Macaca fascicularis: one gene and its partners. The protein of the gene in region 1 binds, or shares a complex with, the protein of each later gene. Links are inferred from orthologs where the notes say so. Each region holds a gene or a part of one and is shown in the gene's direction. Other genes may lie near its edges.

The links.
Region 2: the proteins of PARD3 (region 1) and PTEN are in contact, whole or in part, in an NMR structure (PDB 2K20), measured with the Rattus norvegicus proteins. The link is inferred for Macaca fascicularis from reciprocal best matches to the Homo sapiens genes PARD3 and PTEN. Residues at the interface, in NP_112514.1 of Rattus norvegicus: Ala599, Gly600, Leu601, Gly602, Val603, Ser604, Val605, Lys606, Gly607, Asn608, Arg609, Ser610, Lys611, His614, Lys622, Ile625, Met659, Leu662, Arg663, Met666; in NP_113794.1 of Rattus norvegicus: Asp393, Glu394, Asp395, Ser398, Gln399, Ile400, Thr401, Lys402, Val403.
Region 3: the proteins of PARD3 (region 1) and CDH5 are in contact, whole or in part, in an NMR structure (PDB 2KOH), measured with the Mus musculus proteins. The link is inferred for Macaca fascicularis from reciprocal best matches to the Homo sapiens genes PARD3 and CDH5. Residues at the interface, in NP_296369.2 of Mus musculus: Ala599, Gly600, Leu601, Gly602, Val603, Ser604, Val605, Lys606, Gly607, Arg609, Lys611, Lys622, Ile625, Asn655, Gln656, Met659, Arg663, Met666; in NP_033998.2 of Mus musculus: Tyr774, Gly775, Asp777, Gln779, Glu780, Glu781, Leu782, Ile783, Ile784.
Region 4: PARD3 (region 1) and PRKCZ share a complex: the UniProt entries of both Homo sapiens proteins name them as parts of the par polarity complex. The link is inferred for Macaca fascicularis from reciprocal best matches to the Homo sapiens genes PARD3 and PRKCZ.

The regions. Positions count from the first base shown.
Region 1 is NC_088383.1:35,575,258-35,579,620, reverse strand, and holds the start of PARD3 (partitioning defective 3 homolog), read left to right. Parts: upstream 1-1,394; 5' UTR 1,395-1,491; coding exon 1,492-1,611; intron 1,612-2,395; exon of another isoform or gene 2,396-2,531; intron 2,532-4,363. UniProt on the Homo sapiens protein: Adapter protein involved in asymmetrical cell division and cell polarization processes. Seems to play a central role in the formation of epithelial tight junctions. Targets the phosphatase PTEN to cell junctions.
Region 2 is NC_088383.1:96,734,514-96,738,910, forward strand, and holds the start of PTEN (phosphatidylinositol 3,4,5-trisphosphate 3-phosphatase and dual-specificity protein phosphatase PTEN), read left to right. Parts: upstream 1-1,328; 5' UTR 1,329-2,173; coding exon 2,174-2,252; intron 2,253-4,397. Other genes in the region: KLLN (killin), read right to left, coding at 1-198. UniProt on the Homo sapiens protein: Dual-specificity protein phosphatase, dephosphorylating tyrosine-, serine- and threonine-phosphorylated proteins.
Region 3 is NC_088394.1:62,396,488-62,400,337, forward strand, and holds part of CDH5 (cadherin-5), read left to right. Parts: intron 1-303; coding exon 304-491; intron 492-2,023; coding exon 2,024-2,271; intron 2,272-3,850. UniProt on the Homo sapiens protein: Cadherins are calcium-dependent cell adhesion proteins. They preferentially interact with themselves in a homophilic manner in connecting cells; cadherins may thus contribute to the sorting of heterogeneous cell types.
Region 4 is NC_088375.1:232,633,372-232,637,221, reverse strand, and holds part of PRKCZ (protein kinase C zeta type), read left to right. Parts: intron 1-667; coding exon 668-720; intron 721-2,266; coding exon 2,267-2,455; intron 2,456-3,850. UniProt on the Homo sapiens protein: Calcium- and diacylglycerol-independent serine/threonine-protein kinase that functions in phosphatidylinositol 3-kinase (PI3K) pathway and mitogen-activated protein (MAP) kinase cascade, and is involved in NF-kappa-B activation, mitogenic signaling, cell proliferation, cell polarity, inflammatory response and maintenance of long-term potentiation (LTP).

The DNA.
Region 1 (4,363 bases):
CCAACCCAGGGCAGCTTGATTGCTTTCACGTCCCTCGGAAATAACTGGCAAAAAAGAATTTCACATAGTCTGGAACGGGCTTGGGACAGGGACCACTCTTTGCTGACATTTGTCATTCTTTAAACATAATGACATACGTTTATTAAGGAATCATAGTCCATAACTAAGACAAAATGAGCTTCAGTTACGTTCCCTAACTCGGATCACGTTCCTTCAGAACTTCTCAAGCCCGCATGTCACTCATTGCGGAGTCGGAGCCTTCCTCGGGGTTCAGGCGTCTGCGTTAAGCGCGGGCACACCGTGGGGATTCCCGCGTGAGCTTTCTCCGCGGCGTCAGAATAGGCTGTTCACGGATTCGCGTTAGGATTGCTTATGCTGCAGAACTTGAAAGAAATAAATGTATCAGAATTGCGATGTTTACGGTCTAATCTATTTAAGTGGGTGGGTCAGCGGAGGGTCAACAGGAAACTTCAAGGTAAACAGTGACCTCTGAAAAACGCCCGGTCGCTCACAGCTTCCCCACTGCCTCCCCAGAGCAGACTATTAATTCTTGCGTTTCAGGCAGAACTGCCGCTGCCCGACCCTGCAGCCGAGCTAGGGAGCGGGCAGGGCAGAAACCCAGCGGAGCAAGCCGCAGGCTCGAGTCCCCGAGGGCAGAGAGGCTCGGGCTGGAGCCTCCGGGGCGATGAGGAGGGGACTCGCCGCGCTGAGCAAAAACTGCCTTCCCCGGGAGCGCCTGCACCCGAAACCCTCCAGTCCAAGGAAGGGGATTAAAAGTGACAAAGGAAAGGGAAGGGGGGGGGGCTCCGTGGAGACCTCTGGAGGCGTGGAAGGGGCGTCCCCGAGGAGGGGCGAGCGCAGCCCTGCAGGGAGCTGGGCGGGCGGGGTGAAGGGGGCTGGGGGGCGCCCGGGCCACGGTTGGTGGGGGCAGATGGCCGCCTGCCCGGGTTGGCGGTGGGACCAGGGGTCCCAAGCCTCCGGAGGGAGGGAGGGAGGGACGGAAGGAGGCCGGCCCCGGAGGGCGGTGGCGGGGGCGCGGGCTGCGGTCGTGCGCTCCGCCCCGCGCGGGTAGCCGGCCGCGCCTCCCCCTGCCGCATGTGCGCGGTGTTGTGTGCCCGGCCCTGCTCCTCCCCCTCCCCTCCCCTCGCGCCGTCCCCTCCCCCAGCGGCCCCGAGCGAGCGCCAGCGCCACACAGCCCCGGGCCGCCGCCGGCGAGCGCGCCGAGACGCCGAACAGGTGGCCGGAGGCTGCGGGCGCCGCGGCGGGGAGAGGCGAGGCGAGCCCCGGGCGAGGCGAGGGTGGCCGGGCCGGACCGGGCATGCGAGCTGAGCGGCCCCCCGGCGTCGCCGCCGCCTGCCCTCGCCCCTAGCCGCCCGCGCGTCCAAGTCCCCCGCGGCTCCTCCGCGCCCAGCGTCCCTGGTCCCGGCCCCGGCCCCGGCTGCTCCGGCTGCGCTCGGCGAGGGGCGCGGGCCCGCCCGCGGCGGCGGCGGCATGAAAGTGACCGTGTGCTTCGGACGGACCCGGGTGGTCGTGCCGTGCGGGGACGGCCACATGAAAGTTTTCAGCCTCATCCAGCAGGCGGTGACCCGCTACCGGAAGGCCATCGCCAAGGTGAGGGGCCGGGGGCGCGGGCGGGGAGGGGGCGGCGGCGGGGACGGCGCCGGGATCAATATGGCGCTTCCTGGAAGGGGGAGGAGAGGCGCAGGGAGGCGGGGAAAGGGAAAGTGCGGCCGGGCCGGCCTCGCGGGCGCCCCCCGCCCCGGGCTGCGGGCGCCAAAGTTGTCAGCGCTGGCCGGGTCGCAGCCTCGGGGGCACCCAGCCGGGTCCCGCGGCCCCCGCCCTCCCCTTCCCCATCCCCCTTTCCCCGGGAGCTCCGGCCTCAGGAGCGCGGGGCGAGCCGGGCAGCGGCGCACAGGCCGGCCCTGGGCGCTTCCCCGTAGTCTGTAGAGCTAGCCAAGCCCCGAGCCGGCGCGCAGGGGCGCGGGCCGGGAAATCCAGCCCCAGGCCTCTCCCGGCTCCCAGGCCCCGCGGGCACAGGCCGGGGACTGGGAACTTTTGGTGTGAGGAGAGTTTCGTGACTGCCCTCCCGACGGAGGCGGGCTGCGAGCCTTCTGTCTCCTCTCCCTTCCTCGGGCGGGGGCGGGACCGCGGCGGGGGGTCTTTTCCTCCTTGTCCCCCGCGAGCAGGGGCGGGCAGGGGCGCGCGTCCGGGGGCTGCAGGGTTTGGGGAGTAGCCGGCTTGGGATCGGGGAGGCGTTCCCGGGAGGGCCACCGGTGGCACTCAGCACTCGCTTGCGAGCATTTACTGAGCTGATCCCCCTTACTGGGCTCTGGAAAGCACAACCTTGAAACGGTCGCGGAAAGAAAAGTTTTCCTGCGAGGACCTCAGCTCCTACCTATCCTGGGCTGCTTCCATGTGGCTGGGCTGCGGAGCCGGGCCTGACTTCAGAGTTGAGTGGATTTCCCTTTTTCTTGCTGTAGTGATAACATTGTCTCCACTTCACAGCATTCCTCTACTATGTGTCAGAAGTGAAAAGGCATTTTGCTAAATTGTTTTACCGACTGTGTCTGTGTTTGACAACAGCCCACGCTGAAGTTTCTCCCAAGCACCCGGGGATATTTCCTTTGTAGTAGAGTCCTCTTTGGTGGGGAGTGCATTCACTTCGGTGCAGTATTTCCCATTTGTTCCCGACAGTGGCCTGGCCCCTATGGGCTTGGGGGCTGCAGATGACGTTGGAAAGTGGCTTGGTCAGCCCTATTTAGCGTACACAGGGTACTCCGGTGGCATCTTCAGTTCTCTCAGAAATTAAAAATAAAAAGCTTTTTAGACTGCTGTTTTGCTTTTAGTATACACTGGAAAAAGTAGCATAAATTTGGGCTTTTAAAGATAATTTTGGGGGACGTTTAGGAACCCGGCACAAGGATGGAAGACATTGGCTTTAATAGCTCTGTTATGTTCCTTACAGTTGGTTGAACTCTTTTATTGAAAATCAAATAAAATTAGTGGGAATTGGACACCTGTTTATCTTGCAAAGCTGACAAAGGGAAAGAAAACCATCTCAATGGGCATTTAGCTTTTTTAAGTGTTGTTTATGTGTGACAGTTTATGCTTTAAGTGTTCCGAAAGAGTACTCAAATTGTTCAGGCACTCTGGAAACCAACAAAATACTTTGTGCAAGGAAAGAGAAATAAAGTAATATGCACTCTGCAGTATGTCTAGGCTCCTGAATAGGGAGAGGGTGATCGACATTTTCTTTCACTTTATTAATTTTATGTGATTAAAATTGTTTTACCTACTGTGTCCCATGTTTCATCGTGCACAAAATAGACATAGGCTGAACTGCCTATTTGACAGTAGTTCAAATGTTGTTTGAGGCATTCGTTCCACAGAAATTTTGAAGCTTTGACTGTGTTCACAGCACTGTTCTGGGTGCTGGACATCTAGGGGACCCACTGGCTGTGAGAGGCTGAGCAAGAGGCTGCGCAGTCCTCCAGGTGAAGGGGCTGGTGGTGACATGGGGAGAAGAGGGGCCTCTGGGATGCTGGGTGGCTAAAGCGCAGGGCCTTGGTCACAGACCTGGTCCTTGTTATTAACAATTAGCAGTGGTTGTTTCACAGGGCATAGAAAAGGGAGTGCAGTTTTCTTACGGGTGTCTGGGGAGGTGTCACAAAGAGAAAAGGGGGCCTGTGAGCTGAAGGAAGGGAGGGTGATAGTGACATGGGAGTTGGAGATGAGAGGGCGGGTCAGAGATGGGTCAGGGGTTCCAACACTGACATGCTCTTTAAGTACAACTTAGAGTTCAGTGGGTGAATTTTAACGGGGGCTTTGCAGTATACCAAGTTCAATCATTGGATCCCAAGACTGTTGACCCTCATGTTGCCAGAGCTTGAGTGTCTTCTAGGTCTCCTTTTTCTCGTTTTTATTCTGAAATTGCTAGACAATGATTGAGATTAATTTTCAGTCTTTCTTACTACTTTTCCCATTCTATATTAAGTGATGAGGAAGTGATATTATGTATTTAACACTGTTTTAACTTTTATTCTCTGTTCCTTACCGGTATTGCCTAATAGAACAAGAGAAATTCTGTATGAAGAATTGGGTGGCTGGATAGTTGTGGAGTGGTGTTTAGGTTGCTAGGTGACATGTGGTGTGATGAACTCCCATCTGGTGGGGAAAAATGTGGGCAGATCATGTTTATGGCTTTGTATAATAACCAACCAAGCCAAAAATAAAAAATAAAAAGGAAAAGAGAAAGATCCCAACTCTCAAATCACCAAGGCTTTCTCTGCAGTAAACATTTTCTGGTGTGGTGGGGCTAATTTTCTGGCATTGCATCTGGGCTGTTTTCTCTTCAGGTTACACA
Region 2 (4,397 bases), about 61 Mb from region 1:
ACGTGACCTCCTTCGGAAAGTAGTTCCGACTGTGGCCCGTGTATCCTTCCACCCCCTTTTGAACCCTCCTAGGTCTCCTTGCCCCGCCCACTCGCTGGGCTGCAGCTTCCTACCGTTCCGTACTTTCCACTCAACCTGGTAACCCCGAACGTGCATGGTCTGGCCGGGGCGCGTGGAGCCTGGCCCCGGGCGATCCATCCCGCCGGGTTTTCACGGAGGCCAAGGGGGGGCGGGGCTAGGTGGTCTCTAAGAACCGAGCTTGAGTCCGACGCGGCGAACTGACTTGGAGCCCGAGGGGGAGAGATGCTCTAGTCTCCTAGGGGCACCGGAGCGGGCGCAGGAGAGGGCTGCGGGGTGCGTCCTACTCACGGGGATCCTCTTTCAGTTCATTTAGATAGGTGCCCTTTGGGCTCTGGAAATTCAACGGCGATGTGTTCACGTTCAGCACGCTCGGCTGAGAGCTTTCATTTTTAGGGCAAACAAGCCGAGTTACCGGGGAAGCGAGAGGTGGGGCGCTACAAGGGAGCCGGATGAGGTGATGCACGCTGGAAACACAATAGCAGGTTGCTCTTTGTGCTAAGACTGACATCCTGAGGACACAGGGTTGGGGAAAGGAGGAATCTCTAGGCAAAGGCTGCTACAGTCAAATCTCTGCGAACGACTGTGATCGACAGCGATGCAAAAGAGCGAATGCAGTCCACGCCGCGGAAATCCAGGGGCAGAGGCAGGGGGGAGGGTATTACCCTTGCAAGGACCGTCCCTGCATTTCCCTGTATACTGACCAGCGTGGTCACCTGGTCCTTTCCACCTGTGCACAGGTAACCTGAGACTCGAGTCAGTGACACTGCTCAACGCACCCATCTCAGCTTTCATCATCAGTCCTCCACCCCCGCCCCGCAACAGCCTACCCTGCCTCCGGCTGGGTTTCTGGGCAGAGGCCGAGGCTTAGCTCGTTATCCTCGCCTCGCGCTGCTGCAAAAGCAGCCGCGGCAAGTGCAGTTGCAGGCTGGCGGCTCGGAACCGGCCCGAGCGAGCTCTAGGCAGCCACACTGGGCATGCTCAGTAGAGCCTACGGCTTGGGGGCTTTGCGCTCGCACCCGGAGCTACCGCTTCTGTCCCCGCCTACCGCCCCCTGCCCTGCCCTCCCCTCGCCCGGCACGGTCCAGTCCGCCTCTCGTTCAGCTCCCGCCTCCCCTCGGTCTCCCGAGGAGCCCGGGCTCCCGGCGCGGCGGCGGAGGGGGCGGGCAGGCCGGCGGGCGGTGATGTGGCGGGACTCTTTATGCACTGCGGCAGGATACGCGCTCGGGCGCCGGGACGCGGCTGCGCTCAGTTCTCTCCTCTCGGAAGCTGCAGCCATGATGGAAGTTTGAGAGTTGAGCCGCTGTGAGGCGAGGCCGGGCTCAGGCGAGGGAGATGAGAGACGGCGGCGGCCGCGGCCCGGAGCCCCTCTCAGCGCCTGTGAGCAGCCGCGGGGGCAGCGCCCTCGGGGAGCCGGCCGGCCTGCGGCGGCGGCAGCGGCGGCGTTTCTCGCCTCCTCTTCGTCTTTTCTAACCGTGCAGCCGCTTCCTCGGCTTCTCTTGAAGGGGAAGGTGGAAGCCGTGGGCTCGGGCGGGAGCCGGCTGAGGCGCGGCGGCGGCGGCGGCACCTCCCGCTCCTGGAGCGGGGGGGAGAAGCGGCGGCCGCGGCGGCCGCGGCGGCTGCAGCTCCAGGGAGGGGGTCTGAGTCGCCTGTCACCATTTCCAGGGCTGGGAACGCCGGAGAGTTGGTCTCTCCCCTTCTACTGCCTCCAACACGGCGGCGGCGGCGGCGGCACATCCAGGGACCCGGGCCGGTTTTAAACCTCCCCTCCGCCGCCGCCGCACCCCCCGTGGCCCGGGCTCCGGAGGCCGCCGGAGGAGGCAGCCGTTCCGAGGATTATTCGTCTTCTCCCCATTCCGCTGCCGCTGCTGCCAGGCCTCTGGCTGCTGAGGAGAAGCAGGCCCAGTCGCTGCAACCATCCAGCAGCCGCCGCAGCAGCCATTACCCGGCTGCGGTCCAGAGCCAAGCGGCGGCAGAGCGAGGGGCATCAGCTACCGCCAAGTCCAGAGCCATTTCCATCCTGCAGAAGAAGCCCCGCCACCAGCAGCTTCTGCCATCTCTCTCCTCCTTTTTCTTCAGCCACAGGCTCCCAGACATGACAGCCATCATCAAAGAGATCGTTAGCAGAAACAAAAGGAGATATCAAGAGGATGGATTCGACTTAGACTTGACCTGTATCCATTTCTGCGGCTGCTCCTCTTTGCCTTTCTGTCACTCTCTTAGAACGTGGGAGTAGACGGATGCGAAAATGTCCCTAGTTTGGGCGACTATAACATTTAACCCTGGTCGGGTTGCTAGGTCATATATTTTGTGTTTCTTTTCTTGTATTCAACCTAGGGTGTGTTCGGCTAGACAGAACTCTTGCCTGGTTGCAAGTGTCGAGGCACCGATTGCTTGCTTAGGCTGTCTATACGGTCTCTTCCTGAGGGCTATTGTCCGTTAATACAGAATACAGTATGCTGTTAGTGGATTAGAGAGCTCGGTAATCCGGTCTCCTAAATGAACAAAAAAGTAGACGCTTTGAGGTTGAGCATATTTCGATTAAATCTTGGCTTAGGCCCTAGATCAAGGGTTTAGATCAGAATAAAATGAAAATTAGTGTTGCACGTATGCATATTGCATCAGAATCTTGCAGTGATTGTTTTAGTTTCCTGGGTTGCATTGATAGATTCTTTTAAAATATGACTGATTTGCATAACTTTAGAAGCAGAATAATTTTCAGTATATATGGTGCACATTGAGTGCAAAAAGTAGTTTTGTTAATGTTTTACACTTAAGTTACAACTTTGGACTGTATTTAGAAGTTTTGTAGTTTGAAATCAATAATGCCATAATATACCTTATAAGGCGTTCTTACTAGATCTTTGTTATATTTACCTTTTTCTCTCCCTATGGGATGATGTAGGATAGGGCTTGAAATTTGCACTTCAGTAGCGTTTAATGTTCAGTGCTCTTGTCATAAACATGGAATGGATATTGAGTAGTTTTTGATCCCAGATGACAATGTGTAGGTTCAAGGGTATTGTGTGTGGCAAGTGAAGATTGCAAAGATAAAACTTCAGTTCATGCTTGAAATTTAAGTATTGTGATGCCAGAATTGCTGCTCACCGTTTTTAGATTTCAGGTTCTCTGACATCTTTTGGTACTGTTAATTTCACTGATTTGTGTAGAATGTCAAGTGAATTTTACCAGCTAATATCCAGAAATGCTGGCAAGAGAAGTTTACTCCAGCTTTAGATTGTAGGTATGTTAGCTTTTTTCATACAGTGTATTAAATTTACTGAGTCAGCTTGTTGAATAAGACAGAAGCCCAAGAATTTTAACAGTGTATAGCTTTAGTTGTCTAAAAGTTAGGCCTTCGGGCTTCAAAAGTTAGTGGTCATCGAAAAGCATGAATCTTTGCAGTTTCAGGTACAACAGACTGGTTTTGATTAGGGATGGGGATGGGGCCCTCATTTTGCAGAATGGAAAGTATTGACAGGAATTGAGAGCTATTGGTAGGCCAGTGTATAAGGTATGTGAAAACAGAAGTTATTGGTCTGAAGTGACTGAAGCATTTAGGCTCTATCAAGGCCTAAAATTTGGTAATATGAGTTTGGTAATGCGAATTGTGGCAGTGGACAATATTTAGTTAAAATTATGTAATTGCATAAGTACTAGCAAAGTATTTTTAATAAAAATTATTTCTTAGCAAGTATCAGTTGCATTTTGTCTAAAGGTAGCGTGACACTGCAGTGTCTATATGTCCTGCTAAAAATTGTGGGGAAGATTTTTTTTTAAGACAACGTTTATATCGGGAGAGGTTTTATTCCCTTGGATTATGTTAGCTGCATATACATGTGCACAGTTAATTTTGCCCAAGTTTTTGTTTTGAAATGAATATAAAACTTACTGAAGAAGTAGCCTCCCAAAATTTAGTTTTCTGTTAAGTCAGTAATATTATTTTAAAACAGTATTTGCAAATTTTGAAGTTGGCATTAATTGAAAATGTTACTAAGGCTAAACTGGAAGATAAAAATGTTACTAAGGCTAAACCCGCTTGCCCAGAAGATAATTATGGAAAAAATTCTTTTGTGACTTCCAAAGCAGTCTACTATTAGCATTTGGACTACTATTAGCAGTCATCCAAATATATAGGAACAAAAAATTAAATGTTTATGTAACTTTGAAAAAAAAGCCTCTGAAGAAAATAATTAAATGCTGTCTGGGAGACAGATTTCTTTCAGCACTTAAAGTACATACACACTACTTTTACTTTTCCCACTTTATTTAAAATTGTCAGGGTTATTAAGACCTTAAAATTATTCTACCAGGTTTTT
Region 3 (3,850 bases), on another chromosome or scaffold:
TGTACATGGCATAAGCTCCCTGAAGGCAGGACTTGTCTCTCTTGTCCATTGATAGGTCCCCTAGCAAAGTGCTTGGCATATAATAGGTGCTTAATAGCTATTTATTGGATGGAGGGATAGATGGATGGACACACAGATAGGGAAGACCCTCTTTACCTTGAGAATCCCAGGGATATTATTATTTATTATTATTTTATTATGCCCATTTCTTGTCTCAAAATATGTTAGAATAGATCTGAAAGAGACAATCGCCTTGTCTATCTCATTAACCCAATGCCCTTTCGGGTACTCTGTTTGCATCAGCCAAGTACACATTTGTCGTGCCTGAGGACACCCGTGTGGGCACCTCTGTGGGCTCTCTGTTTGTTGAAGACCCAGATGAGCCCCAGAACCGGATGACCAAGTATAGCATCTTGCGGGGCGACTACCAGGATGCTTTCACCATTGAGACAAACCCCACCCACAACGAGGGCATCATCAAGCCCATGAAGGTTTGTAGGCCAATGGTAACAACATCAAACATGGGGCTTGGGGCTCTTGGCACCCACAGGTCCTGCCTGGGGGTTGCTCTTGGGCCAGAGACCATCAAAGGACCATCAAAGCTCCCAGCTGGTCATGTGTTCGTGGAGACTGTGATCCAGTGTCTTAGGGCAAGTTACTCGGGAAGCAGATCTTAAGGCAAAGATTGGGTATAAATCATTTATCTGGGAGGTGACCCCAGGAAGCCCCAGGAGCAATGACCCTTTTGGGGGGTCAGTGTGGAAAATATCTCAGAGTTGCAGCAGCTGAGGGTGAGGGAGCTGGGGTATTTATACACCCACTTCCTGTAGCGTTGACAGGACTGCTCCTGGAGGTTTTACCTCTCTGGCACTTTCTGGCCTGCCCTGTGTCCTGGCCAGTAGAAATCCATCAGCATGAAGAAAACAGTGAGTAATTGTGATGAAATGGATGGCCACTGACAATGGATGCTGCTGACAGTCAGAGAAGCCAGATCAACTGAATCTGGAAGAGGAGGGAGAGGACCTGTGGGGGGCATTAAAAAATGCCTCTGGAATGGCCATGCAGAGGACTGCAAGTCCTGGGCCTGAGTCCTTCTCTGACCCAGCCCCATGCTGGGGCCTGGAAACATCAAGGAGAGGCAGACACAGCCTCCAGTGTCAGCAAATGGGGAAGACATATGCATGAACAAAAAAAGTATAGCCAGGTGTAAGTGATACACAGCAGCTCTGAACAGGGAGCAATTACCTCTGCTGGGAGGGGTTTCTGAGAGAGCATCTGATTACCTTCTGTTTGGCTTCCTGAGGGATGAGTAGGAGTTTTCTAGGCAGGCAAGGGCAGGAGAAGCATCTTGAGCAAAGGTATAAAGAAAAAGCATGTCTGACCGGGCCTGGTGGCTCACGCCTGTAATCCCAGCACTTTGGGAGGCCAAGGCAGGTGGATCACCTGAGGTCAGGAGTTTGAGACCAGCCTGGCCAATATGGTGAAATCCTGTCTCTATTTAAAATACCAAAATTAGCTGGGCGTGGTGGCAGGTGCCTGTAATCCCAGCTACTTAGAAGGCTGAGGTAAGAGAATCGCTTGAACCTGGGAGGCAGAAGTTGCAGTGAGCCAAGATCGCACCATTGCGCTCCGATCTGGCACCAAGAGTGAGACTCTGTCTCAAAAACAAAGAAAAAGCCTGTCCTTAAGGACCTGTGGGTAGAACCACTAGTGATGCCCGTAAGAGTAGGACCATAGTTGATCCATTGCATGTCCCAAACGCTGGAAACAGAGCCAGGCAAAGAGCCAGGGTTGTGGGTGTGGCCATGAGGCTGCTGAGACGAAATGGGGAGCAGCTGAAGACAGACATTAGGCCCAGCTGCTCTCTTGATGACCTCAGAAATATCACTTGTCAAGGCCATGGGCCCCTCATCTATAAAATGGGTGTCGTCCTGGTACTACCTTGCACAGTTGCTGTGCAGATCATGTGCCACCCACATGCTTGGCCCAGAGCAGGCACTCACCATCCTTTTTTCTTATGCAGCCTCTGGATTACGAATACATCCAACAATATAGTTTCATTGTCGAGGCCACAGATCCCACCATCGACCTCCGATACCTGAGCCCTCCCGCCGGAAACAGAGCCCAGGTCATCATAAACATCACAGATGTGGACGAGCCCCCCATCTTCCAGCAGCCTTTCTACCACTTCCAGCTGAAAGAAAACCAGAAGAAGCCTCTGATTGGCACAGTGCTGGCCATGGACCCCGACGCGGCTAGGCATAGCATTGGGTAAGGGCATTGGGTAAGCATTGTCGATGAGGATGATGAGGACAATCCGGCCTGGATGTGCCTATGCCTGCTGGTCTGCGGCCAGGACTCACAGAGGGGAACTGGCTTCTCCTGGCACTTACGGGGAAAGTGACAGAGGCAAGATAAGAAGCCCAACCTCTTGCACTTGGCAGCCTGGCATCTTGACCTGCGCAGGCTCCCCCACCTAGCATGGTCCTGGGCATCCAGAGCTACTTGTCCTCTGTCCCGCCTTGAAGGCTTGTTCTCTGCACCACAGCTCTCACCAGTCCTATGTGGTAAGATCTGACAGTCAAGAGAGCAACCAATCAGATGACACACCAGAGACATTAAAACTGTATTCTTGAATCTATCTCCCCCAAACCACAAAAGTAAGAAGTGTTCATTTCATACGGTGAAACAACACAAAGATCTACCAAGAAAACATTGATAACCCCCACTGTCAGATAACTCATGTTCGTGGCCTGACCTGGTCCTATTGCTCCTTTCTTTTCATGACCACACAAATATATGGATGCATTTGTGGTGGGTTTGTTGTTGTCTGTTTGCTTTTGGTGTTTGATTGTTTTAAATTTTTTTTGGATCATGTCATGCTCATTTCATCGATATTTGCTCTTCTATCTTAACTAAATTTCTCTTTTACAATATTTAGAAAAAAAATGATATTGTTCCAACAGATACTTTTTAGAGCCATATAATATGCAATAGTAAGTATAAATTCAATTAAATTTAATTTTATTGCAGATGAATAGCAGATTTTGCCAGCACCATTTACTAAATATTATAATAATAAGTTATCATTTTCCCACCTTTGTTATATACTAAGTTCTCTGTATATACCTGAATCTACTTCTAATTCTCTGTCCTATCTATTGTTCTATAGCAAAGCCATTCTATTTTATTCTACTAGCTTGTATAAGTCCATTCTCCTATAAAGAAATAGTTAAGACTGGGTAATTTATAAAGAAAAGAGGTTTAATTGGTTCACATTTCCACAGGCTATACAGGAAGTATAGTGGCTTCTGCTTCTTGGGAGGCCTCAGGAAACTTACAATCCTGGGAAAGTAGGCATGTCTTACATGGCCAGAACAGGAGTGGGAAGGGAGTTGTTACACACTTTTCAACAACCTGATCTCATGATAACTCACTATCATGAGAACAGAACCTAGGGGATGGTGCTAATCCATTCATGAGAACTCTGCCCCATCTATCCACTTCCTACCAGGGCCCACCTCCAACACTGGGAATTACATTTCGACATGAGATTCGGTGGGGGGGACATAGATCCAAACCATATAGCTTTACACTAGACCTTAGATATACATAAAAGTTGTTCCCTTGTTGCTTTTTTATTTGACATAATTTTTTGTCAACTCTCATTTTTTCTTTTGTGAAATTTAAAATTTTGTAGCCAGGTTTTTTTAAAACATTAGAATTCTAATGTTTGTATATTATAAACATTAGTGTTTATATATTAATTTTGGTATAGCTAATCTTTCAAGGGTATTAAGTCTTCTTATTAAGGACAAAATATGTTCTTACATTTTGGCCTCATCTCCTA
Region 4 (3,850 bases), on another chromosome or scaffold:
TGTTGTCCACCGATCTCTCCATCAGTCCATCTATTGTCCACTGACCACTCCATCTATCCATCTATTGTCCACTGACCTCTCCATCTATCCATTTTCCGCTGACCTCTCCATCTATTGTCCACTGACCTCTCCATCTATCCATCTATTTTCCACTGACCTCTCCATCTATTCATCCATCTATTGTCCACTGACCTCTCCATCTATCCATCTCTTGTCCACTGACCTCTCCATCTATCCATCTCTTGTCCACTGACCTCTCCATTTATCCATCCATCTGTTGTCCACTGACCTCTCCATCTGTCCGTCTTCCATCCAGGCCTCCATTCATCCCCCATCTAGTCATCCTCCATCCCTTCACTAGACATCCCCTCCTGCCCCACCCACCCATTCACTAGACACCAAAATCTGATGACTAATTATTTGCAGATGGACCCCTGGGGGCGTGTGTCACAAATGTACATCCCCAGGTCCCATGGTCAGAGTCGGCAGGTCTGAGTGGGGCCCAGGAAGCTGCATTTTCAAAAGACTCTAAAATAGAATCAGACATGGCTGCTGTGTAGAGTTGCCCTTCACCGTCGCCTGGTGGAGGAGCAGGGCCCACGGGGTCGCTGTGTTCCCAGCGCGTTCCTGACGACACCGTAACGCCTCTTCCTCCCTCTCTCGCCAGTTGCTTACATTTCCTCATCCCGGAAACATGACAGCATTAAAGACGACTCTGAGGTGAGTCTGCGGAGCAGCTCGCTACCTTTCCAGCGTCCTCTTGGAAGTCTGTGAGCCTGCCTCTGGGGCAGTCACATAAATCTGGATGTGAAATATACGGTCCGGGATGTTGCTAATCTTTACGGGTGTGGGTGTCTAGAAAGAAGCCCTTGTTCTTGGGTCTTATTTCAGGCACATCCTTGGTGATTCCCTGGAGGCAGCTGTCCCAGCGGGTGGTCTGGGGACCACACCCTGGGGGGAAGCCGCGCCCCACATCCTCTCCACCCAGGCAGTACAGTGGCCCAGGGGCTGGCTTTTGAGCTGTAATTTTTATCAAGTTGTGTCTGCACCACGGCCTTCCTTTCGTTGCCTCGTTTGGCCGTCCTGGCAAACCCCTCTAATGCCTTTTCACGTCCTTCCCCAACTCAAGCGAAGAGGCTCAACTGAGCCTCGCGTCTGTGGCCAGCTCTGCACCACAAACCCTGAGAAGGGAACAGAAGAGCTTGCTGTGTTCTCAGCCTCTGCTCGTAAAACCCAAGAAAGGGCTGCGCTGGCAAAGCCCACACCTTTCCAGAGCAGCGGCACATACCACCCTCACAACTCGTGCTCCTTCCTGGCCGTCCTGTGTCTGGAGGGAGGCTGGGTCACTTAGAAAGCAGAATCCAAAGCCGGGCACGGTGGCTCACACCTCCAATCCCAGCATTTTGGGAGGCTGGGCCGGGCAGATCACTTGAGTCCAGAAGCTTGAGAACAGCCTGGGCAGCGTAGTGAAACCCTATTCCTGCAAAAATAAATACAAAATAATTAGCTGGGCATGGTGGCATGGGCCTGTGGTCCCAGCTGCTTGGGAGGCTGAGGTGGGAGGATCGCCTGAGCTTGGGAGGTGGAGGCTGCAGTGAGCCGAGATTGCGCCACTGCACTCCAGCCTGGGTGGCAGAGGAAGACCCTGTCTCAAAAAAAGCAGAATCCATTCTGCTGCACAGAACAGCACCTCCTAGCGAACTACCTCCTCCACCCCGACATCCTTGCCTGGTGTAGCTTGCAGGAGGCCGAGGCTTCTCTTTTTCCTCGGAGCGCCTTTCTTCTGTATATTTCTAATAATTATTTCTAATAATGTGTGCTTGCCGGTTTGGGAGCTCTTGGCAGGCATTAGCTACGTTTGCTTTACCTTCCTTCCCCGAGGGAGGGCCCTGATGGGGAAGGATGGGCCCAGGCCCTGGGCCGCATGTCCCAGTGGCCACCTCTTCAGCCCGACTGGTAGGGCTGAAGGCCTGGGGGTCCCTCCCACTGGCAGCTGTGACCAGAGCCATGGTCTGTGGAAACGAGCAGCTTCCGACTTTCTAGCACCTTCCTCAGAAGCACAGCCTGAAGTTCTCACCTTTTGTGCCCCGGTTTAGATGGGAGTGTGGGGGTGGGATCTGTGGGACGCAGAGCTGAGACTGGGATCGTGAGGCTCTAGGCTCTGAGGAGCAGATCTCTGTTGGGACCGCATGAGTGATGCGTGGTCCTCTGAATCTCCCGGGACCCCTCTCCCCTCACTTTCTGGGGTCTTGTTCTCCCTTCCTAGGACCTTAAGCCAGTTATCGATGGGATGGATGGAATCAAAATCTCTCAGGGGCTCGGGCTGCAGGACTTCGACCTAATCAGAGTCATAGGGCGCGGGAGCTACGCCAAGGTTCTCCTGGTGCGGTTGAAGAAGAATGACCAAATTTACGCCATGAAAGTGGTGAAGAAAGAGCTGGTGCATGACGACGAGGTAGGTGCCACTTCTCACGGCGCTCGGGGTCCCGGGAACGCACCGCCCTGGGGCCGCCACCTGGGGAAGAGGGCATTAGAAGGCCATAATGAATGCTCCAGGCTTTAGCAAAATTAATCCAGGCATGAGAGTCCTGGCCTCGTATTGATGGAGTTTGCGCAAAATCAATAGTGATGCGTCGCGTAACAACCGGGACGTGTTCTGGAAAGTGCCTGGTCAGGTGATGGCACCGTTGTGTGAATGTCACAACGCGTGCTCCACAAACCCAAACGGCGCAGCCAACTCCGCGGCCAGGATGCACAGTGCAGCTCCTGCTCTCAGGCTGCCGGCCCGCACGGCTGTCCGTGCACTGCACACCGCAGGCAGTGAGCGGACCACCGCAGAGAGCACTCGTGTCTAAGCTTTGAAAAGGTGAAGATGGGTATCGTCTCCGCGACCTTCGCGTGTGTGGCCAACCACTGATACGTCGCCTTCCAGCAGACTGCGGTTGAGCTTGAGGACGTCGTCACCCTTGTTAGGAAATCCCTGGGGTTGAGCTGAACCGGGCGGGTGATGGGGTAGGACAGGAAGCTGCCCAGAGGCACTGCCTCACTCCGTCCTGCACAAGGCCCCAGCTTTGAGGGACGTGCTGAACTGCCGCGGCTCTGTGTAGCAGATCTTCCCACACCAGCTGTTTCTGGGGGAGAAGTTTATTGATTATAGGATCAATGGTTTATTTGTTGAAATCTTTTTTTTTTTGGAAATAGGTTCTTAAACAGGGTCTTACTCTGTCACCCAGGCTGGAGTGACTTGATCACAGCCCATGTAGCCTCAAACTCCCCAGCTCAGGTGATCCTCCCACTTCAGCCTCCAGAGTGTTGGGACTACAGGCATGAGCCACCACCCCCAGCTGTATAATTTTGTATTTTCTGTAGAGGCAGTGTCTCACTCTGTCACCCAGGCTGGAGTGCAGAGCATGATCACAGCTCACCTCCTGCAGCCTCCACCTCCTCCTGCAGCCTCCACCTCTTGCTGGGCTGAGGTGATCTTCCCACTTCAGCCTCCAGAGGAGCCAGGGCTACAGGCGTGCACCACCATGCCCGGCTATTTTTTGTGTTTTTTGTAGAGACGGGGTTCAACTATGTTGCCCAGGCTGGTTTCGAATTCCTGCACTCATGCACTCTGCCCCACTCAGCCTGCTGGAGTGCTGGGATTACAGGCATGAGTCACTGCTCTTGGCCTATTTGTTGAAATCTTGATTCTGACTTCATACACCTTTTTGTTTTAATTATAGTAAAATACACATGGCATAGAATTTGACATTTTAAAATGTACAGTTAGGGCCAGGCATGGTGGCTCACACCTATAATCCCAGCACTTTGGGAGGCCAAGACGGGTGGATTACCTGAGGTCAGG